Linked DNA regions of Oryctolagus cuniculus. The protein of the gene in region 3 purifies or fractionates together with the protein of the main gene of each other region. This does not show direct contact. Links are inferred from orthologs where the notes say so. Each region holds a gene or a part of one and is shown on either strand. Other genes may lie near its edges. The genes, in order: BCL7C, SMARCD2 and ARID1B.

Region 1 (7,772 bases), on a different chromosome or scaffold from region 3:
AGAGTCGCTGCTCTGGATTCTGCAGGGTCCGTCCCATTCCAGCTGAGCGGAAAGGAGGCACCCGACCTTTGTCAAGCGGCTGTTCTGTGTCCTCTGTCCCCAGATCCCTGCTGAAACCTCATTAAAGCCTTCCTTCCACTTAAGGCCATGTGTTCATGCTTCTAAGGTAGCTGGCTCTTTTAATGGCTTTTTTTTTTTTTTTTTTTTAATCTGTGTGTATCTACCTTAGTCTGGGAACCCTTTGAGGATGGAGTGGACATAGCTCTGTAACTCGCTTAGTGGAACTCAGATCGAAATTGCCTTTAAGGCCCACTTGCGGGGAGACTTTAGTCCCGTTTCTTCCCTGATGCCCCTTCTTATGCAAGGCACTGGGGCTGGATATTTTCAATGAATCAGAATCTGGCCTGTCCTAGCGTAAGCTTGCGGGCGAGTGGCGCCCCAGGAGGACTACATTTCCCGATATGCACAGCGCGCGCCCGGTGCATGCTGGGGAGCGTAGTCCCTGAGCGGCCGCCCTCGCCCCGCCCCCGCCCCCGCCCGCCCCCGCCTGAGTTTCCCACCGCCGCTCCGGATCCTCGGGAGCTTCAACTTTTGGGTCCCGCTGTCGCTCACCAGTTCCCGTGGCTCAGAGGCTTTCTTCCCTACCTCTGCCTCTTCTTGCAGCTGCCGCCCCCCGCCCCAACTTTGATTTTTCTCCTGACACTCGGGGAGGACTCAGGTGTTCTGCCCCAGCCCCGCCTCCAGTCCTCCCTCAGGATGTACCTGAACTGGTGATCTAACTCCCGGTGCCCAAGTCCCTAAATCCTCCGCCCCAGGCCTCCTCTAAACTCCTGCGCCTGCCCTTTCTCAAAACTCACCCGCTTGTTACCTGACACCGGAGCCCTGCTCTCCCCCGCCCCAGCCGCCTCCCTCCGGACCCGGATCCTGCGGTGGTGGAGCCCCAGACCCCAACTTCCAACCCTGCTGGCTCCTGCGCCCTTCAGGGACCCAGCGTCAGGTCCCTCACAGCCCCTTACCCAGACTTCCCTCCCTCCGGCTCATGCTGGCCCCTGGTTGATCCCGGTTCCCTCCACGCCCCCCTTCCGAGGGGGGGGGGAAGTGGGGAAAGGGGTAGGGGCGTGGCCCGGGCGCAGCCAATCAGCGCCCAGACCCCAAACATGACCCCCCTCCACTTCCAAGCAAGATTCTTCGGCCCTGAGCTCAGATCCCCCGCCTGCGCAGCCTGGTCGGGTGGAAGGGGCAGGCAGGCGGTCTTCAGGATGGGCTCCGGAGCTCGGGACTGGGGGTTTCGGGGCCTGGGAGGCCACCCTGTGTCCTGCTGCGGGGGGAGGCGGGGAGAGGCGGGGGGAGGCAGGGGGAGGCAGGGCTTGGCGCCCGGGCTGCTTTGGGGCTGGCAGGACAAGAATGCACAGGCCCTCCCTCTGGGCTGGGGGCTGGGTGCCGTGGGGGCCTCTGGCTTGGGGCGCACTTGTCCAGACAGACACCTTTCTGCTCCGCTAAAGATGCCTTCCTGGCTGCCCGGCACACCTCCCAGGAGGGAGGCAGACGTTCCACCTCGCCTTAACCTTGGGGACCCAGGACAGACCCCGCCCCCTCCTACATCTCCTCTCCCTGGAAATCTGGACACACCCGAAAGTCAACCCCATTAACCTGAACCAGGTGCTGCCTCTGTCCGGGTGTGGGACAGACAGGCGCCACACTCACTTTTGGATTCTAGCCTCCTGCGGGGCTCACAGTCTGACTACAGTTGGGAGCAGCCGGACTGAGAAGGAGGTGCGTGTGTCACTGAGGATATTGGCTTGAGCAGAGCTCTCCGGCAGAAAGGAGGAAGAGAAGTAACCAGCAGAGGGCCCAGCAGGTGCAACTGAAACCGGACTGTGACCCGTGTCACAATGACACCCTTAGTAACAGCGATTTTTTTTAAGAGTTATTTATTTATTTGAAAGTCAGAGTTACACACAGAGAGAAGGAGAGGCAGAGACAGAGAGACAGAGACAGAGAGACAGAGAGAGAGGTCTTCTATCCGTTGGTTCACTCCCCAGTTGGCCTCAACAGCCAGAGTTGAAGAAGCCAGGAGCTTCTTCCAGATCTCCCATGTGGGCGCAGGGGCCCAAGCATGTGGGCCATCTTCTACTGCTTTCCCAGGCCACAGCAGAGAGCTGGATCGGAAGTGGAGCAGCCGGGTCTCGAACTGGTGCCCATATGGAATGCTGGCACTGCAGGCAGTGGCTTTACCCACTACACCACAGTGCCAGCTCCAATAACAGCAATTTTTTTAAAAAAATTATTTATTTGAAAGGCAGAGTTACAGAGAGGGAGAGGGAGAAGGAGAGGGAGAGGGAGAGAGAGAGAGAGAGAGAGAGATCTTCCATCTGCTGGTTCACTCCCCGAATGGCTGCAATGGCCAGGGCTGGGACAGGCCAAAGCCAGGAGCTTGGAGCTTCTTCCAGGTCTTCCACATGGATGCAGGGGCCCAAGGACTTGCACCGCCTTCTGTTGCTTCCCCACGTATATCAGCAGGGAGCTGGATCGGGAAGTGGAGGAGCTGGGACTCTGCACAGGCACCCATATGTGATGCCGGCACTGCAGGCGGAGGCTTAACCCCGCTGCACCACAGTGCCGACCCCAACAGTAAATTTTTATTGAGGTCTTTTACTACGTGCTGACCACTGTTCTAAGTGCATATTAAGTTACTGCCAAGTTTTAGTTGAGGAAGTAGATATAAGTGGCTTGTCCGAGTTCACGTAACGGGGTGTGGCTGACCCGGGATGTTTACCATGGCGGGCCAGCTCCTGAAATGCTGTCAAGGCTGTCTTCCCAATCCTGTAACCCCTCTGGACAGGGTCAGAGACAGGACAGCCACACACAGCTGCACCGATTTAGACACGATCAGATCTGCTGATAAAGGAGCCTTCGAATCAACCAATCATTTTCTGCAAGGAAACTTCTGAGTCAACTGCAAAACACAGATGGAGAAACGCACACATCCCCAGCGCCCAGCTTGATGAATTTTCAGAGGAACTTTGCCCAGGGAGCCCGGGCCACATTAGGAAACAGACATGATGGGTTCCCAGAAGCCCCTCTGGGACCCCTCCCAGTCCCGAAAGAGACACCCTCCCGGCTTCCTAATCCTGACATTTTCCTATCTGCTTTCGAACTTCATAGAAATAGAACCAGGTGGTGTATCTGGCTTAAACTCAAGATCTGCTGAGGGAGACTTGTCCCGTCGCTGGGTGTAGTGGGACAGCGGGCATTCTTGCCCGCTGGGTCTCTGTCTTGGGTATCAATAGCTGCAACCCACTTCCCAGTCTCCTCTTGGTAAGCCGTTTACGGTTCGGGGCTGTTAAGAACGCGGCTGTGAACATCCCAGCTCACGGCTCTTGGTGCTCCTGTCTAAGCATTTCTGCTGGGTGCTGACGTGCTGGATTCCTGGGCTGGTCTTTGTTCAGCTTCATGGGAAAGTCTCTACCAATTCCCACTCCCCCAGAAACAGAAGGGAGGCCGCGCGGCTCCGCTGGCCCGCCCACACTCGGTATGGCCTGTCGTTCTCGCTATAGCCATCCTGGGGGGTGGAGACTCACTCATGTGTGCAGCTGTGGCGCGTAATTGGCACTGGGCTGCTAGATCGTTGAATGAATGAATGGGTGAACGAATTAAGTTGGGCAGCGTAGAATCAGCCAGCCCGGCGAGGGAGGAGGGGGTGTCCGGGGACACACACACGGTGTCTCAGGTTCGCACACCTGCACCCAGACCCTCTCGTGCACCCGAGCGCCCACGTGGTCTGGACGCGCCGCCTCGGCGGAGCCGCGCGCGTCCAAGTCGCCGAGCCAGCGGGCCCCCAACTCTCGCTCGCTCTCGGCGGCGGACAGGGGGCGCTGCGCGTCCGGGCGCCCCCGAAGGGGCGGGCCCGGGGCGGGGCGGGGCTGGCCCGGCTTCCAGGCCTGGGCTCCGGCACCCGCGCCGCCCGGCCGCTCCGGGGACGGGCCGGGGCGGGGCGCGGCGGCAGGAAGCGGGGCGGGGACTCGCGGAGGCGTTGGGGAGCGAGGGAGGGCGCGGCCAACTCCCGGAGGGGACGGCGGGCGGCGAGAGCGGCGCCCCGGCCTGGCGCCGAGCCTGAGCCCGCCGGACGGGAGGCAGCCCCGCCGCGGGCTCGGCCCCGGCCCCAGCGCCGCCAGCATGGCCGGCCGGACCGTACGGGCTGAGACCCGGAGCCGGGCCAAGGATGACATCAAGAAGGTGATGGCGACCATCGAGAAAGTCCGGCGATGGTGAGCGCTGCCCCGCGGCCGGGGCCGGGACCCTGGCGGGGACCACCGCCCCCTCGCGCGCCTCCCCTCCCCTCGCCAGCTGCGCCCCCCAGGTGTTAGGTGCGCCCCCGGCCACCAGCTGTGCGCGGGATCCCCAGGGCTCCGTCTCCCTTCCCCGGGCTACCCCCGGAGGTCTACAAAGCGTGGTCCCCAGCCGTGCCTTCGCCGGGCGGGAGCCCTCGTCCGTGCCCCGCCCCCTGAAGCTCTGACACTCCTGCAAGTATGGCCCGGGCTCCGAGCTGCGTCCCCAGGGATGGCCCCCTCCCTCCGGAGGGGTTCTGCCCTAGCCATGGCCCCGAGGCGTGCCCGGGGCGCCCCCTCCCCATCTTTGCCCTGGGCTCGCTCTCTCCAACAGTGCCTCATTCGCAAAACCGCCCCAACCCTCGTGCACCTCCCCCACCTTGCAGATGTGGTACCTGGGGCAGAGGCGGAGGCGGCGGGTCAGGCGGGTGCGCGCGGGGGGGGGGGGCGCCTCTCCCCTCAGGCCTCTCTGACCCAGCACCCCACCCTCCCACAGGGAGAAGCGTTGGGTGACTGTGGGCGACACTTCCCTTCGCATCTTCAAGTGGGTGCCGGTGGTGGACCCCCAGGAGGAGGTGAGCAAGCCCACCCCCCACCCCCCAAGACCCTGCATCTGTGCAGTCTCAGCCCAGCTCCTCCCCACCCTGGCCTCCACCTCCAGTGCCTACCGCAGCCCAGATGTTCAGGATTACTCGGCTGCCCCTCCCCCTCCCCCTTTCCTGCTCCAGACCCCCCCCCTGCAAGGCTAACCCAGCACGCACAGCCTCTGTCACCTCTGGCTGGGCCTTGGGTTTCTCTGTGCCTCAGTTTCCCCGTTTGTCCCCGTGGGGCTCTGCCAGGGCTGCCGGGAAACGCTGGCTCTGATCCTCATCCCTGTCACCCCCAGGAGCGGCGGCGGGCAGGTGGCGGGGCAGAGCGATCCCGTGGCCGAGAGCGGCGAGGCAGGGGTGCCAGTCCCCGAGGGGGCGGCCCGCTCATCCTGCTAGATCTCAATGGTATGTGTGGGGGCCCAGGCATTGCCGGGGGCGGGGAGGGGTGGCTGTGGGACCTGGAGGAGGGGCCTGGGGGCCTCAGGCCGACCCTCTGGGCTCTTGTTTCTGCAGATGAGAACAGCAACCAGAGCTTCCACTCGGAAGGCTCCCTGCACAAGGGTACCGAGCCCAGCCCCGGGGGCACCCCACAGCCCAGCCGCCCTGTGTCACCCGCCGGAGCCCCGGAAGGGGTCCCTGAGGAGGCTCAGCCCCCACGGCTGGGCCAAGAGAGAGGTAGGATCAGGTGCCACCCAGAGCCCCCTTCTCTGCGCCCAGCAGCTCACCCCGCTACCTGCCCCTCTCCCATGAGCCCCGTGGAAACAGTGCCCGCCCCTGCCGTCTCCTCTGGCATTTCCCTATCAATTTCAGTTGCTGCTCACATACTGTCTTCCTGCCCCGTCTCGTGTCGGCTTCCTGGAGGTCGGGCCCTCCCCGATCTTGTTCACGGCATCCTCCAAGTCTAGTGGGACGCATAATAGGTGCTCAATCAATGTTTGTCGAGTGACTAAAAGACGAAGCTACTCACGGGCGCTATTGATTGAGCTCTTACTGCGTGCCAGGTGCCTTCCAAACACTCTGTTCTGTTTTATCTCATTGACTCGCCGCCTCGGAGGGGTTAGCCTGCCCTGCTTCCTGTTTGTAGCTGAGGAGGCAGATCAGCAAGGTTAAGTCGGTCGCCCGAGCTCACACAGCGTCTTCAGGTTGAGGCTCCTCAGCTCCTCTTTCTTCCAGTTCACCCCCGCCCAGCGTGGCCTCCCCAGGCCACAGCCTGGCTCCAGCCGCCCCGCAGCTGTAGCACAGCTCTGCCTGAAGCGGGGGGCCGGGTGGGGCTCATTTTCCTGCTGTGGCTCCTTCTGCCCCCTGAGCTGGACGCTGAGGGCCCCCTGTGCGCCGTGCCCTGCCCGCCACCAAAGCCACGGCTTGGGCCTAGGGGCTGAGCCTGGACACCTGTGCTAATAGAGAAGCAGTAACTGGCATTTCTGGCGCACGTGCTGGGTGCCAAACACTTTGAGCTGTACTACCTCGCCTCCTCCTCCCGAGAGTCATGCACCAACTGCGACCCCTGGCCCCATGTTATGGATGGCTAAGGAGAGGCCCCAAGAGACGGAAGGAGCCGGCCCAAGGCCAGGATCTGAAGGCGGCCGCTGAACTCCAGGACCTGTGCTCACTACCCTGCGTTCCCTTTGTCTGAAGTGTGTTTTTCTTGGTAAAGCTACACCGCTTTGCAGATCCTGCATAAGTGTTCCTGCTTCAGTCTGGGGCTGGGACTTCAGCCAGGTCCTGGGCCCCTTTCTCTCTGTCCAGCTGCCTGTGTGTGTGTGTGCGCGCGCGCACGTGCGTGCATTTCTCCCAGTCTGACCTCTGGGCACAGAGTGGCTGCTCAGGGAATGACTGTTCACTTGACATTCCAGATCCCGGGGGCATAACTGCAGGCAGCACGGACGAACCCCCCATGCTGACCAAGGAGGAGCCGGTTCCAGAGCTGCTGGAGGCTGAGGTGAGAGAGGCCGCAAGGCTGCACTCCCGGGTCTCGAGGGAACGTGGCACCGGCGCGGGTGCGGTCCGGGCGGGAGGTGTGGACCCAGCACCCAGCCAGGGCCTTAGCGGCCGGGTTCTTGGGGACAGAAAAGAAAAGGGTGTTTCAGAGACAGCTTCCTGAGGGCTGGATCAGGGCCGACCTCAGACCATGAAAAGCCTGAACCAAACAAACGAACAAACCAATAAGCAAACCGCGGTGACCCCCAGGCATTAAGGACAGCAAACCCTGACCGGTCGAGTTAGCCTCACATAGTCCCCGGTTCAGTCTTGAGAGCGCAAGAGCCCGATCCTGGCGCAGTCGGTCGCTGCCCTGAGCAGACTTCTAGGTCTGGGGAGGGGCGTGGTGTGGCGTGGTGTGGCGTGGCGAGAGGTGGTTGCAGAGACAGCCCAGGCTCAGAGGCTGGACGCCTGGGTCCGGGTGGGGCTCATGCCTGTCCACCCTTCCTCTCCAGGCCCCCGAAGCTTACCCCGTCTTTGAGCCAGTGCCACCTGTCCCTGAGGCAGCCCAGGGGGACACAGAGGACTCGGAGGGCGCCCCCCCACTCAAGCGCATCTGCCCAAATGCCCCCGACCCCTGAGAAGCCACAGCCAGCCAGCCTGCTTGTCCTGCCTGCCTGCCGCCCCAGGGGCCCCTTCGGCAATTTTTTTTTTTTTTTTTTTTTTTTTTTTTTTTTTACAAATAAAGACCCTTTTGTAATTTTGTGTCCTGTCATTTCCCGCCAGGGCTGGGGAGGGGCTCCGCAGGCACTTTTGTCTCTCGCTCCATTTCTCAGATGGGGTCATCGAGGCTCGAGGCTCCAGAGGGCCTTGCTGTAGTCACACCGGGAGCCAGGCCCCTGCCTCCGCACCACGCCCCCCATCGGCCCCATCCCCC
Region 2 (7,772 bases), on a different chromosome or scaffold from region 3:
GGTCACCATATGGCCCTACCCACAGCCGGGAACTGGACTCTTCTCTTGCCTCCCCACTGTCTCACCCACACCCCGGTGCCAGAAGACCCGAAAGGGGAACTGCGGCGCCTGTGGGAGTGAGAGCAGCTGGCATCTGTGGTCCAGGCACTACCTGGCAGCCAGGACTGGCTCGAGTTCATCTGAGCCCTAGCAATCCCAAGCTAGAGGATGGGGAGATTATCCTGGATGCAAGGGTCAGAGTCAAGAAAGCGTCCGCAGCAGGAATCCGGGTGGCAGAGAGCCGCTTCAGAGTCTGCAGAAGGATTTCCCACCCAAGCCCAGCTCCCCAACATTTCTGTGGCGCCCATCTGGGAGTAACCTCTGCCCCCAGCCCCCTTCTCCACGGCTGCTGCCTGCAAGGCCTGTTTGGCAGCTCTGCCTTGCACACACTGTCCCTGGCAGCTTCACAGGGCTGGCCCCGGGGCCCAGATTATGCAACGAGCACAACCAGCCAGCCGAGCTGGGCTGGGTGGAGACTCACCCCAGATCACAGGACCCTCCCCCACGCCAGCATCGTGGAGACGATTCTCCCCAACCTCTCCTTCCAGCCCGCAACCCATGTTCCCAGCACAGAGGGTCAGATACTTGACCAGACGCACAGGAACACACCCCAGAGCTGTGGGGGGAAGGGCGGAGTGAGAACCAAGAGGTGAGAGCAGAGCGGGGGGCTCTGGGATCGGGAGTCCTGCCGCAGCCTCGCTCCATCAGGAAGGGATTCATTAGAGCTGTTGAAAGCAAGACAACCTACTTCTCCGCTTTAATGAGCCACAGCCAGAGATGGGGGGGGAGGGGGCAGCACTCAATGTGGCCGCAGCTGTAAGCCCAGGCCCCACACATGTCCCAGACTGCAACTTTTTTTTTTCCAGTGCCTGAGACAAGGGAGCAAGCAGCAATTGCAGGGGCGAGCTAGGGCCCTGCGGTCCCCACAAAGCCACTCACTAGGGCGCTCACCAAGCCTGCACCACCACCTAGCCCTCCTGAGCAGGTGCTCCGGAGACAGGAAGTCCCAGGACAAGGACAAGGCGCACAGGCAGGACCTGGAGCAGGTCCCGTGCCGGGCTCAGGGCCCCCGGCTCACCCTGGGCCCCAGGGAAAGGCTGCTTCGCAGCTGGAGTCCCAGTTCAGCCTTGCCAAGCTCCACACCTGGGCTTTGAAGCACCAGTAATTCCAACCCCTTCAAAAAACAACTCAGGAATTCTAAAAAAAGACCTACAACCTACAGCCCAAAACTCTCACCCTCCCTGACTCCTGACATGAAACAGGGTGAGGCAGGCCTGGTGGGGCCCCCTGAACCCCGAAAGTGTGCAGTGACCGCATCACCCGTCCCCCACACCAGCTGTTCCAAGGCCGGCCCCTCTGCTGAGCCGCCAGGTGAGCACGCGGTGCCCCGCCCCTGAGCTGTGGCCCTGCTGCTCAGGGTGTCAGCGGGGCATCCTGAGTTCTCTAGAGCAAAGCCAGCACCCGAGGTTTGGCCTTGAGCTTCTCTGCTGGCGGTGACCACCAGGCCCCCTCTGGAGGGAGGGGGCATCACAGCCCTTCCTTCCACAGGCTCCCTACCTGCCCGGCGTGGGCCTCGACTCCTTGCTCTTAGCTCCCTCTGCGAGTGCTGACAGACAGGAACCCTCAAGTCCCTTCTCCTGAAGTCACACAACGGGACCTGACTCAGCCCGGGGGGCCAGGTTCCCCTTCCCATCTCTCCGGAGGGGAGGAGGACAAAGTGGTGGCCAGGAAAGCCAGCCTCAGTGCCACTCCTAGTGGCCCACAGCCACGCAGCTAGGCCTGGCCACTGCCATCCTCTCAGGGGCATGGGCACTCTTCCCAAGGGCCGCATTGTCTGTTCCAGGTCCCTCCAAGGCCAAAGGCCCAGAGGTTCCCGGGCCAGGTCTCAGCAAACAGGCCCGAGGGCTGGAGTAACTGATGCAGGGACCCCTCAGCCACACCCTGAGTCCAGGAGTCCCCTAGGGAGTAGAGCAAGATAGGAGAGGAGGAGCCCCAGCGGGGCCCCTGGGACCAGGTCTCCCTCTGCACACACCCTCACCCTGTTTTCTTTTACGAAGGAGAGGGAATAAGGGAATACAAAATTCACTGTCCCCAGTAGGCATCGCCCGGGGATGTGAGAGCTCGGGGGTCCTGGAGGACACTCCCTGAGGACCCTCTGGGACCCCTGGCTGGGAGACACAATGAGGGAAGAGACCTTGGGAGACCAGCAAGCGGCAAACGCAGGGTGCATGGGTTAGGATGCGGGGTTGTCAGAACCCGGAGGCCAAGTAAATCGGAGAGGGCAGGGGGAAAAAAAAAGACAGGTATAATTCCTAAGCATTTGGGGCAACCTAAAATAACGGACCGGGAGACCAACCCCGCAGCAGGGCCAGACCGAGTGCTCACACGCCCGCCGTAAGGACCGTCGCGGCTCTGCCTCTCGGTGGCCTTTCGCGCTGCAACGTGAGCCTCTCTCGGACGTCAACCCGCAGGCGTCGGGACAGCGCTGGGAAGCAAACTCCTGCAGCCCCAGCCCGGCTCCTCCACTCAACCTCCCGCCACCAGGACGCCGCCAAGCAGAGAGCCCAGGACACGGTCTGCGCGCGATGGTCTCTCACTGGGCTGGGTCCTCCCTCCAGCCGGCTCGCCACCGCCTCTGGTCTAACCCGGAGTCAAATCCAGTGAAAAGCTCCTGGGTCTGCCCCTGCACACACAGGCTGGACTCCCCCGGCCCCAACCTCAGCCTCCCTGGCGGTGGGAAGCCAGGCCTCCTGCCGCCTCCTTAGCAGCTGGGAGCCATCTCAGACATGCTCCAGCCCTGCCAGTTCCCAACGAGAAAAAACAGGGCAGACTTGGAACAGGACCAAGGCCAACGCAGGGTAACCCCGGTCGCGCGGTGGGAGCCTTGTCCGAAACTTTCCCATCACATCCCGGGAACCCCGGACACGGGCTGCTCGGCCACGGTTCGCCGCCTCCCACAACTCCATCGCTCAGTTACTCGCAGCGCCCGCGCCAAGGAAGCCCTCGGAGCCCCCTCGCACTCCGCCACCGCCATAACCGAGCCGCGGCCAGAGGGCCCCCGCCGGGCCCTCCCCGGCCCCAGCGAGCTCCTGCCGCAGAGTCCTGCGCCCCCGGTCCAGGGGGCTCCCCCAGGGGCCCCACTCGAGGCGCCCTCGCTCCTCTCTCCTCACCTGGTACTGCGCCGCGGGGCCCGCGGGGCCCATGGGGCGGAAGGCGGCGGCCCCAGGGCCCCCCACGCCGCCAGCCGGCCCCGGGCCCCGGAGCGCCGGGCCCGGCAGCATGCCGGGTCCCGCCGGGGGAGGCGGCGCTCCCAGGGCGGCTGCCACGGCGCCGCCGCCGCCAGGGCTCAGCGGGGGCAGCGGGAACCCGCCCGCGCCACGGCCCGACATCGCTCCGTCCCGTCCCGGCCTCCGGGCTCCGCGTCGAGTCCGCTCCGCGCGCTGCGCTCCGCGATCCGGGACTTTCCGATCCTAATTCCGGGTTCCGGGCTTTGTGGATCCGGGATCCGGGATTTCCTAATCCAAGTTCGCGAGTTCCTTTCTGGCCTGGTCTGGGCCAGGGCCGACCCCGATTCCGCTCCTGGCCCGGGAGATTCCGGATCCGGGATAGGCTGCGGGCCCGCCTGCCGCCCCCGGCCTCGGGAGGTTTGGCCACCAGAGTCCGGTTACCCAAAGGCGGCGACTAACTCCCGGCCCCGCCCCACCCAGGCAGCACTCGGCCCCGCCCCTCCCTCGCAGTCCAATGCGAGACTGCCTCCTCAAATCCCGCCCTCGCGAGACGCACCCCTAGCAGGCACCGCCCCTAACCGCCGGCCTAGGGTACCGCCCACAACCCGTGGGCCCGCCCTTCGCGGAGAGGCGGGAGCGGAAGTGCGAACGGAAGTGCCGAGTGAGGCGGGGGGTCAGAAGTCGAAGGTCAGCGAGGTCCTGGGCTCTGCTAGCTCGGGTGTAGCCACTAAAGCGGATTAGTCCGCTACTCCCCCTCAAACTACTTCTGTTGAGTCTTTATACAGTTCAGCGTTGAAGACTCGGCCTGGGGCCGCCCTCTGACCTGGACGGCGCCAGGCCCAGGCCAGCTGTGTGAACCGTTGACTTGGCCTAGCGCCCGGTTCTTATCGCACATTTTTAACATGGCTCTGTCTCATTTTAAAGAAGCCTGGTACTTGACTCCACAGGAAATGGTTCTCGGCGAAGGAAATTTGCCCTGAGAAGCGCCCCCCCACCCCCCAGTTAAACAAGTTCTGTCTCCAGTATTTATAGCACTTTATCTTCAAACGTTCGGTACTACTGACCTGTATCAGAAGGTATTCCAAATAAACGCTTCAGCTGTGCCAGGTTCCTAACCCGCCCCCCACCCTCATGTGGGGTCTCCCCAGGACATAGACCAGTGCTTAGACTTTAATGAGCATACAGCACACCCGGGCTCTCATTATAAATGCAGATTATGGCTCACTGGGGCCGCGGCAGTCCTCCAACCCTCTGTTAGAAATTAGTTCCCACTCGTACCTCTGTAGCATTCCTTAGGTGACAAGCCCTGCTGCTCTGCTTTCCTGCATCTAAGATCCCTCTCCTCTTCCTCCCTAAAAGTTGGCCACCTGTCAGTATGGGGACAGACCCCTGCAACTGTGACAGTTACAGCCATCAAACCATGCCCCTTTCTACCCCAGCAAGGCTTCGTGATAAGGCAGCGAATGTCCCCTCCAACTCTGAAGCTTCCAGACCAGCGGTAGTTCTTGAGGAAGTGGTGGCCATTCCAAAATATCCCTGCCAGCCATACCTCCAAACCAATGACCTCCAGCGTTGCATTTTAAAAATAAGTTAGGTAATTCTAATACCCCTTGATGAGAACTACTGTAGAAAAGAAATAACTATTAAGTGCATTTAAAAACATTGTTAAATATAATCAGGTCGCATTAATCTGTTACTTAAAACTCCCCAGGTCCCCAGTGCCCTTAAATTGAATGCCGTACTCCCTCCCAGGATACGTAAGGCTCCGAAGAACCGGCTTACAGCTTCCTCCTTGGGCGGCTCATTTTAAATCACTGCCATTGGTTAAGTGCCAGCCAGCTGGTAGCCCTGCAGTTTCTCAAACCGCCAGGCCCCTTCCCTTCTCAGATGCTCTATGCTCCCAGCTCTTCCTTAACTTTTCTTCTCTCTCCCCTTACTTTACTTCCCACCAGCTATGTAATTACTTTTTTATGTGTGTACTGACGTATTGTCTGATCTGGTGCACCCACTAAAAATATAAACTTTATGAAGGCAGGAACAAACTTTCTCTATTGAGGTGAGATTCATGTAAAAATTATCTATTTGAAAGTGAACAGTTCAGTGGCATTACATTCACAATGTTGTGTAACCAGCATCTCTGTCTACTTCTAAAACATTTTTATTTCCCCAGAAGAATACCATTTAAATAGCTGCTCCCTATTCGCTCCTTCCTCCCAATCCCTGGCATCCACCAATCTTCATTCTGACTCTATAGCGTTATCTATTGTGGCTATTTCATATAAACGGAATCATAACTTGTGGCTTTCTTCCTTTAGCATTATGTTTTTGAGGTTCATCCATGTTGTAGCATGTAGCAATGCTTCATTTCTTTTTATGGCTGAGTAATAGCCCATTTTATGTATATACCACAATTAGTTTATCCATTGATAGACATCAGAGTTGTATCTGTTTCCTGGCTATTGTGACTAATGCTATTATGCACATGTGTGTACCTGTGTTTCTTTGAGTATCTGTTTTCAATTATTTTGGACATATACTGTGTCTCTATTGATAATTGTTATAATCTACTCAACAGATGTGTGTGGACAAATGATGCTTGAGTGTAGTGGGAGAGTGACAGATAATGTCAATAGTGAGTTGATATGGTAAAATACCCCCCAAATGGCTGCTATGGCTGGTGCTGCGCTGATCCAAAGCCAGGAGCCAGATGCTTCCTCCTGGTCTCTCATGTGGGTGCAGGGCCCAAGGACTTGGGTCATCCTCCACTGGCTCCCCGGGCCACAGCAGAGAGCTGGACTGGAAGAGGAGCAACCGGGACTAGAACCCGGTGTCCATATGGGATGCTGGTGCCGCAGGTGGAGGATTAACCAAGTGAGCCATGGCGTCAGCCCTGAAAAAAGAAATTTAATAGCTAACATTTATTGAGCATGTTAGCTCATTTAATTGTCATAACACATATGAGGCAGACACTATATTTACTTATATTTTAGAAATCAAGGCAGAGAGATTCAGCCACTTGATCACTCTCACTATGATGGCACTAGGATTCTAGTCTGGTTCCAGTCCGGCTCTAGAATCTACGATTCAGGAATTTAACCATTCTTTATCAGTTTGTTGGTAGTTGTGTGTCTGGTCTGTTATTACTTGCAAAGAAATAATGTTCAAACTGAAAAAGCAAGTTTCATGGAGACTCAGAGAAAAAGAGGTTGGTAGGCAGGTCCTGACTAATCAGCGAGATGCTATTGGTAGTCACGCAGTAGGCAAATGGGACCTGATGTTTCACTTCAGAACAATCCGGGACCTTGTGAAATGAGCTGGCCATAGAAAATAGATGTGGGAACAAGGGGAGGAGACGGCACTCCTACTGCAGTCCTCTTGGGACTTAACGGTGTGGCCAACTACAGGACCCAGTGTCATGGAGGCAGCATTCCCACGCCCTTGCTCCCTCAGCCTGGAATGCCTTTTTTTCTCCTCCCTTCCTCTTTGATACTCAGTGCCCACTTTTCAGGGATTTCATTCAGCAACTTTTACTGAGACCTTCCATGGTGCCACCCTGACAGTCCAGAGAGGGACTTCCTGCAACCTCTGGACACGGCTACCTCTAGAGATGCTCAGAGAAACAGGATGGAACTAAATTTTTTAATTTAACAAACTATTAATAATAAAGTATTTAATACAACCAGAGTCAAAGGGCCAATTCCAAGCACTGCTCTGTGGTTCCCCATCCGGCTGCTCAGTGGGAAAACAGTGCTCAAAGAGTCCACAAGAGCAAGGTCGTGGGAGGAAAACAGCTCAGTGCTCACCCTCAGGTAGGCCAGCAAAGGCTCATCTCGCTGTGGGTGTCCCTTAGGAGGTTGTAATTTCAGGAGAAGCAATGTGGGTAGCCAGATTATGGTGCGAACGCTTTACCAAGTTGCGGCTCTCTGCGACTGGACCAGGAGCTTGTGCCAGCCGGAGCATCCAGGCAGTTCAAGCATCCGACTCCCATGTGGACGTAGTGGGAGGCCATAGGCCCAGGCATTGCCTAGTCACAGTAGCAGAAGCGCTGGGCAAACCTGTAGACACTATTCTCAGCATTATATATGAATACAACACAATTGATATATAATATGTGTATATTTATTTGAGAGGCAGAGAGATTGGGGGCGGGAGCTCTTATGTACTAGTTCACTCCCTAAATGTCTGCAACAGCTGGGGCTGAGCCAGTCTGAAGCCAGGAGATGGGAACTCAATCCAGTTCTCCCACATGGGGGTGGGGGGTGGGCAGGAACTCAATCATTTGAGCCATCAGTGCTGCCTGTATGTTAGCAGTAAGCTGCAGTTAGGAGCCAGGGACAGGTGTGAAACCCAGGTACTTCAACATGGGACAAGGGCACCCTAAGCAGCATCTTAACCACTAGCCTGCTCTCTTCTCCACATTCTGGAAAAATTTATTGAGCCCGTTGTATGTACCAAATCCCTGACATATGCTAGAAAAGAAGGTAAGTACGTAAGTAGATCATTTCC
Region 3 (7,714 bases):
GGAAGTCTGGCCTCGACAGTGATGGGTTCTTGTCACAGTCACAGCCATGGAGATTTAGGGTAAGGGGCAAGAGCCTGCTAACGGCAGCCAGCAGGGAATGCTCTTGGATGGGGCAGCCCAGGTCTGCTTCTTTGCTGGCCAAGTTCTCCACGACGTCCACAGCTAGACCGTGGTGTGCTTCAGTGGGTTAATTTTTTATCTCCCCAATATAGATAGGACCAAAGTGATATTTATATTTTTATTTTTAAGGATAGCACAAAGTAGGTTCCAGGTGAATTTGTTGAGGGGCTAAATGTAGTTTATCCGTATCTGGCTTTTTGTCCACACTGTAATTTTCTTAGAAGTGTGACGGTGCTGTTGTTTGCCATAGTTACCAAGTGTATTTAGTTTATTGCCTGGATTTAAAAAAAAAATCCTGCCTAAATTTTTTTTTTTTGCCTTCGTGAACTCACTGCTACTGATAATTTGCATAGTTGTTTCAGATTAAATGCTATACCCCATATCTTTCATTGACTCGGAGTTGTTCACTGCCAACATCTAAATCGGAGAAGTGAAAAGGACAATTGTTTAGTGCTTTTTAAAGTCCCTGACCAAGATCAGTAGGGAAATCCCATTAGCTCCATTCATCGCATTTCTCATAAATCTAAAAGGAAAGCAAGTATCCAAAGCCTTATTCTTTAATAGTTCTTATTTGTAAAACCTTGACAGGGCTTTATTCTAAATTGCTTCCAAATTACATAAAGAATACTGAGAAATATGATGGGCAGTGGGTTGTGATGGTTTCAGTCATGGAATAAATAAGTAGAACAGTGAAAGGGGACTGATCTGAAAGCAAACAGAGTATGATGGGCTAGGAAGAGGCGGAAAGAACAGACTGCGGCTCAACCATCTGGCTCAACCCTCTGTAAGTGGGCAAGCTGAAGAGCCTTTTATTCAGTGTCCTACAACTTATTCAAAAGGGGCAGAATTTGAATATTAATATTTCCATATAGTTAAAAAAAAGCCCCGACGCTTTTGTAACCAAAAAGGAATGTTTAACAAAATAATGGGTAATCCTCTGGCTAAACATGGCCTAGGAGCACCCTGTGGGTGGGAGGTGGCTTCAGGCCACGGGCAGGGGCTGAGGCTCCCCCTCCTCCTGGTGCTTAGGGAAACTTACTAAAGTTGTCACTGTGGTTGGAAATTCAGACAAGGGGTGTAAAAGTAAGGAACTCATCAGGAAAAAGGCACACGGTGATGTCCGGGATCTTATTTCATCCAAAAGGAAGAAAAAAGTAGAATTGCCATCCAGGGTAACTGAGGCAAGCGACACAGCAGAAATGCTAATCGGTGGGTGAATTCTTGCTTTTGTGAAATGGGAACCTATTTCCTCTCTTTATAACCAACCCCTGACAATTTCCACTTTGTGTAGTAAGTCTTGGGTGCTTAAGTGAAACTATGGTTGGAGAAATAGGATTCCAATGAAGGTGTTTCAGAAAGAGGTCTCAGCCTTCTCCGTGGTAGAAAACACAAAACCAAGTCCTGCGGGCTTTGTGCTGTGTTTCTCTTGCAGGCTGCACTGCCTTCTGTCTGCGTCAGGGTGTGGCATCTGCTGCTGGAGAGGAAGAACTGGCATGTGTCGCCTTTTAGAGCAGGCCCCTGTCATTGTGCTGGGGCCTGGGTTTTACAGGCTCTTGGTCCCAGTCTTCCAGCTGAAGCCTTGCTGAAGCAAACGGAATATACAGAGATTGTGGATTATATGTCGAATTCTCTTTTTAGTTTTGTGATTTTTTTTCTGATATGAAAAAATATTTCTAAGGCCCAGAAGTGAACTTGGCGATTCCCTTTTAGGACTAGTTGTGAAAAGCAGCCAGGACGTACGGCTGAACTTGTAGGAACTGACTTTGATCTAGCTTATCAATCTGAATAAAAGCACTGTATGATTATTTGCATATAGTTTGATTATCAATGTCTGAAGCATAAACAAGATTGATTTTAGAATACATGTATATAGATACATAAAACATTTATATTTGCATATGAAAACTTTAAAATGCAACATATGTGGTTAATACGTATAATTAGTATGTATTTGAATATATAGAGAAAAGCCAGGGAAAAAAATGTCAAAAGGCCCACTAAAAGAGATGTAGTGTTCTCTTGGCACAAACTGATGATTTGGCATGACTTCCTCTTACAGTTCTGTTATTGTCTCTTACCCGTTTTCCAGTTGTTTGGACAGAATGGCAATTTGTTGTTTCTTCTCCAAATAACGACCCTTGGGTGTGCGCCTGGCTCCCCGCCCCCACCAGTCACCAGTAGCTCCGTCTGGCTATCTGTCTCTAGTCAGGTAACATGCTTACACTTGGTCAAGCATACATAACTAGTGCATCCGAAACAAGCCGAAATGCTTGCTATGGAAAGCTGAGGAATGAAATGATTTTGGAAAACTATACTCTACCAAAATCGTGTATCTCATTTCTGGGAGTGTGACCCCTGGAGAGCTGGAGAGTACTTCTTAAGAAGTACTGTTACTAAAGATACTCATAATGATACTAGGTGGTAAACTCATAATAAAAACTGTTGCAATACACAACTGTGTACTATTTCTGCTTTTACATTAGATTGGACTGTTTTATAGTTATTGATCTTGTATTTATATTACATTTAACATCTATTGAGTTTTGTTTCATGTTACTTGGAAAGAAACTTTCTCAAGAGGGTTCTCTGTGCCCGTTACCCTCTGAAATAACGCTGGAAGGTGCTACTACATCACCGGAGGGGGGGGGATTCGACTTTGGACAAATAGTGGCATCTGCGTGGGAAAGCTGTGTGCCGCGTGACCCTCGGCTGCGTGTGCCCGAGACAGAGAGGACACAGGGGTGCGAGCTCTCCCCACAGACTCCTTGCACAGGAATCTAGGGTGCCTTAAAAACAGCCACGTAGCCATTATCTCTGGGGCAGGTGCCGGCATCGGTGAGCATCCATTGAGTACCTGCTGTGTACAGGGCTCTGTGCTCTTCGAACGCGGCTAACCCTCCCCGAAAGCCCTTCCTGAATTCTGCAGTTGGAAGAAGTTGTGGGAATCACGCCGATGGCCAGGAATCAAGGCAGGGAGGCCAACGTTCTGGAAAATTACATAACTCCTGTGAGAGCCAGCGCTTTTGCAGATCGCCCAAATATTTTCTTTCCTCCGTGGGCTCCTCGTCACCTCGGAGGCCCACGGACAACTTCGTGCCCCAGCCCTTCTTCCCTCTTTTGTCTGCTCGCCACAGACTCGTTTTTCCACCTTTGGAGCGTTCCTTTTAGACGCGAAAACAAACACGCGAACGCCCGGTTGGCAAGGAGACGGAGGCACGAGGGGAAAGTGCAGCTCCGGCCGCCTCTCGCCGCCGCGCTCCGAGCGGCTGCCCAGCCGGCCTTGGCCCGGGCCTGCGCGCGGCCCCCGGCCCCCGGCCCCCGGCCCCCGAGGCTGCGCCGGCACGGGCGGGCGGCTGCGGCCCGCGCCGAGTCCAGTCCGCGTTTTGCGAGTGCACAGGAGCAATCAGAGAGAAGTGGGATAATAGTTGCTCCAGCTCGCTCGGCTCCTTCTCGTGCCATGCTGGGCCCGATAGGCTCAGCCGGTCGTGTATTTACCCATATCCGGGTTAGAGAGGAAAAGAGAAAAGTTTCGTTTAAACCTGAACTAAAAACTTTCACCGTGAAAGCACACAGCGGGAGCAGGCCCAGACCGTAAGGCGTGCCCCGGGCCCGGCGCTCCGGCGGGGCCTGCGGAGGGGGAGGGGGCCGGCGGCTTCCCGGCGGGCCGCGTGGATGCGCGCAGGAGGGGCCGCGGCCTGAAAAGTGGGGGTATTGTCTCCCCCCGCCGCCCGCCCGGCCTCGCCACGCCGCGGCGATCATGGCCGCGCGGGCAGCAGCGGCGGCGGCGGCGCGGGCGCGGGCGGGCAGCGGCGAGCGGCGGGCGCCCCCCGGGCCGCGGCCGGCGCCCGGGGCCCGGGACCTGGAGGCGGGGGCGCGCGGCGCGGCGGCGGCACCGGCGGCACCGGGACCCATGCTGGGGGGCGGCGGCGGCGGCGGCCTGAATAATGTGCACCACCACCCCCTGCACCCCCGTCACGAGCTGAACATGGCCCATAACGCGAGCGCCGCGGCCCCGGCCGCCGCCGCCAGCACTAGCAGCGCCAAGAGCGGCGGCTCGGAGGCGGCTCTCAAGGAGGCTGGAAGCGCCGCCGCGCTGTCCTCCTCCTCCTCCTCCTCCGCGGCGGCGGCGGCGGCGGCGTCCTCCTCTTCCTCCTCGTCGGGCCCGGGCTCGGCCATGGAGACGGGGCTGCTCCCCAACCACAAACTGAAAGCCGTTGGCGAGGCCCCCGCCGCACCGCCCCACCACCACCACCACCACCATGCCCACCACCACGACCACCATGCCCACCTCCACCACCACCACCACCATCACCACCACCACCACGCACTACAGCAGCAGCTAAACCAGTTCCAGCAGCAGCAGCAACAGCAGCAGCAGCAGCAGCAGCAACAACATCCCATTTCCAACAACAGCCTGGGCGGCGCGGGCGGCGGCGGCGGCGCGCCTCAGCCGGGCCCCGACATGGAGCAGCCGCAACATGGAGGCGCCAAGGACAGTGCCGCGGGCAGCCAGGCCGACCCCCCGGGCCAGCCGCTGCTGAGCAAGCCGGGCGACGAGGACGACGCGCCGCCCAAGATGGGGGAGCCGGCGGGCGGCCGCTACGAGCACCCGGGCCTGGGCGCCCTGGGCGCGCAGCAGTCGCCGGCCGCCGTGCCCGGGGGCGGCGGCCAGGCGGCCGTCTCGGAGTTTAATAATTACTATGGCAGCGCTGCCCCTGCTAGCGGCGGCCCCGGCGGCCGCGCTGGGCCTTGCTTTGATCAACATGGCGGACAACAAAGCCCCGGGATGGGGATGATGCATTCCGCCTCAGCCGCCGCCGGGGCCCCCAGCAGCATGGACCCCCTGCAGAACTCCCACGAAGGGTACCCCAACAGCCAGTACAACCATTATCCGGGCTACAGCCGGCCCGGCGCGGGCGGCGGCGGCGGCGGCGGCGGAGGCGGAGGAGGAGGAGGAGGCAGCGGAGGAGGAGGAGGAGGAGGAGGAGCAGGAGCAGGAGCAGGAGCAGGAGCGGGAGCTGTGGCGGCGGCGGCCGCGGCGGCGGCAGCAGCAGCAGCAGGAGGCGGCGGCGGCGGCGGCGGCAGCTATGGGGGCTCGTCCTCGGGGTACGGGGTGCTGAGCTCCCCCCGGCAGCAGGGCGGCGGCATGATGATGGGCCCCGGGGGCGGCGGGGCCGCGAGCCTCAGCAAGGCGGCCGCCGGCGCGGCGGCGGGGGGCTTCCAGCGCTTCGCCGGGCAGAACCAGCACCCGTCGGGGGCCACCCCGACCCTCAACCAGCTGCTCACCTCGCCCAGCCCCATGATGCGGAGCTACGGCGGCAGCTACCCCGACTACAGCAGCCCCAGCGCGCCGCCGCCGCCGCCGTCGCAGCCCCAGTCCCAGGCGGCGGCGGCGGCGGGGGCGGCGGCGGGCGGCCAGCAGGCGGCCGCGGGCATGGGCTTGGGCAAGGACATGGGCGCCCAGTATGCCGCTGCCAGCCCGGCCTGGGCGGCCGCGCAACAAAGGAGTCACCCGGCGATGAGTCCCGGCACCCCCGGACCGACCATGGGCAGATCCCAGGTAACCCCCGCGCCGGCCGGGCCTGCTTCCGCCCGGCGGCCTCGCCGCGCCGCGAGCCCGAGTTTCTTTCTTTGCCGCGTACTTTTCCCCAGTTTTCTGGTTGGGGGGCGGCGGGGGCGCGGCGCCCAGGGCCATCTTCGCGGGCGGCCGCCTCCCGCCGAGGTCGGGCGCGCGAGCGTCCGCCCGCCGAGTCCGGGCCGCGCCGTGCGGGCCGCGCAGGGCTTCGCCCGCGGCCGCGGGCCGGGCCGGGCGCTCCGGTGCCCGGTGGACCCGCAGCCTCGCCCCGCCGGCTCTCCCGAGGCGCTGGGGTGGTGACGGGATTCCGAGACAGCGCCCGCGGTCGCGGGAGGCTGTGGGGGCCCGGGGCTGGGTGCGGGGGGCTTTTGTGACGGAATCGGCTCTCCGGGCCGCTGAGGTCTGGGGATGGGGGGGGGGTGTTGACCAGATCTGCCCGGGGAGCGCCCACAGTGTGCCCTCGCTGGGAGAAGAATGAGGAACTTTCTCCCACCTTCAGCCTCGTCCTTCCAGGGCGGCAAGGCGGGGAACACGGGTTAGCCTGGTGACAGCCGAGGGGGTTTTTCCTAGTTGGATAGAGCCCCCCGGAGATCTTCGATGCGGGGATCGAGTTTGAGTGTTTACTAGCAGGGGCGGGGAGAGGGGGGAGAAAAAAATAGAAAGGCGCGATTTACAACGACGTGGAGGCAAAATATCTGAAATCTATCGATTCATTCCCGAGAATAGCCGGGGAAATCCATTATGGGGCTTCGGGCCGGCTGCAAGGAGTCACCTTCAGCGCCGAGGCTGTGTGCAAGGAACACGTTTCCCGACCCATTGAACTTCTCTTGCTCGCGGGCTAGGCATACACGCTGCTCAGCAAATCCAGCAGGAGAGCAGGCCTGTGCAAATGGGGCATTTCGGATCGTGTTTATTGGGGTTTTCTTTCTCCTGCCGTCACCGAAGTCCTCCGGCGCTGTTCCGGAGTGTCCGGCGCGCTGGCTGTTTCTTGCTGGTAGGCTGAGCCTAAAGACTGACTTGATCTCCTTTGCAAGGTTTGGAATTTGAATTGTGGAGGTAAACTGGCTGTAATAGTCTCCAGACAGCTGCCTCTGAGTTGACATCTAATCTGCCATCTGATTGGCTCCCCTCTCACCATTGGGCATTTAGCACTGCTGATGTAAATAGAAGTGCTGAGCAGTACAGTCACAAAAATTCTTGCCACAAATAATAACTGCACTCTATTACAAGCAGATGTAAGCCTGCGTATTATTTAAAGCTTAAACTTGTCGCGCATCACGGTTATTAGTAAGAGGATTCGGCACAGAAAAACATCACACCGTGGTCCAGTCTTGGGCATTCACAAAACTGAGCTCTTTGATGACAATCTTGCAATATGGACACGACATATATCATGGACTACAATTGTAGGTGGACGATAGGGCCAGTGAAAAATAATTCAGCCACAAATTTTACCAATTACAGGGTTTGCTAAGGATATGTATATATATATATATATGCCCTTTATTAATTCAGTTATAAAACATTTGATTTGTGGTAGCACATGTTTAATATAACATTAAAAATTTCAAGATTCTGATGTCCAGCAAATCTTATGGTGACAGGCTTTCAGTGGGATTAAGGCTATGTATTTCTAGTGTTTTGCGTTCTGGCTGTTTTAAAATGTTTGTGAGTGAAGAATTTTAGTTAAAACTGGCATATTTAAAAAGATGAAACGATATCATAATTTTTGCAGAGAACGGTTAATTAAACGGGAAACAATGGGTGTTTCTTTGAAGTACTAAAATCATTTTATATTTTCTTCTTCCTTGGAGGATACAGAAATGCCACAGAATCTTTTTTTCCTCTTGATTGTTTTGTTAGAGCAGGTAACGTAAGGTTTATCTGAACTGCTTACACAATGAGTTAGGAACACTGGATTACAAACGAGTTGTGCTGAGTGTGTTTGTTGCAAATAATTTTTCTTTCATAGACATCTTCATGCTATGCAAGTTTTAAAAATTTTAACCTGTTAGAAGG

What was found.
Region 1: the proteins of ARID1B (region 3) and BCL7C purify together in Homo sapiens (affinity purification with mass spectrometry; 4 studies listed by BioGRID and IntAct, counting the BioPlex papers as one, with this or other methods). This does not show direct contact. The link is inferred for Oryctolagus cuniculus from reciprocal best matches to the Homo sapiens genes ARID1B and BCL7C.
Region 2: the proteins of ARID1B (region 3) and SMARCD2 purify together in Homo sapiens (affinity purification with mass spectrometry; 5 studies listed by BioGRID and IntAct, with this or other methods). This does not show direct contact. The link is inferred for Oryctolagus cuniculus from reciprocal best matches to the Homo sapiens genes ARID1B and SMARCD2.

Annotation. Positions count from the first base shown.
Region 1 is NC_091450.1:6,247,870-6,255,641, forward strand, and holds the start of BCL7C (B-cell CLL/lymphoma 7 protein family member C), read left to right. Parts: upstream 1-3,964; 5' UTR 3,965-4,176; coding exon 4,177-4,268; intron 4,269-4,824; coding exon 4,825-4,903; intron 4,904-5,214; coding exon 5,215-5,323; intron 5,324-5,431; coding exon 5,432-5,593; exon of another isoform or gene 5,594-5,819; intron 5,820-5,909; exon of another isoform or gene 5,910-6,771; coding exon 6,772-6,857; exon of another isoform or gene 6,858-7,350; coding exon of another isoform or gene 7,351-7,476; exon of another isoform or gene 7,477-7,772. Other genes in the region: CTF1 (cardiotrophin-1), read right to left, coding at 1,017-1,041. UniProt on the Homo sapiens protein: May play an anti-apoptotic role.
Region 2 is NC_091448.1:14,873,407-14,881,178, reverse strand, and holds the start of SMARCD2 (SWI/SNF-related matrix-associated actin-dependent regulator of chromatin subfamily D member 2), read right to left. Parts: upstream 3,654-7,772; 5' UTR 3,429-3,653; coding exon 3,210-3,428; intron 2,822-3,209; exon of another isoform or gene 2,396-2,821; intron 1-2,395. UniProt on the Homo sapiens protein: Involved in transcriptional activation and repression of select genes by chromatin remodeling (alteration of DNA-nucleosome topology).
Region 3 is NC_091436.1:10,837,875-10,845,588, reverse strand, and holds the start of ARID1B (AT-rich interactive domain-containing protein 1B), read left to right. Parts: upstream 1-3,216; 5' UTR 3,217-3,877; coding exon 3,878-5,680; intron 5,681-6,145; exon of another isoform or gene 6,146-6,230; intron 6,231-7,714. UniProt on the Homo sapiens protein: Involved in transcriptional activation and repression of select genes by chromatin remodeling (alteration of DNA-nucleosome topology).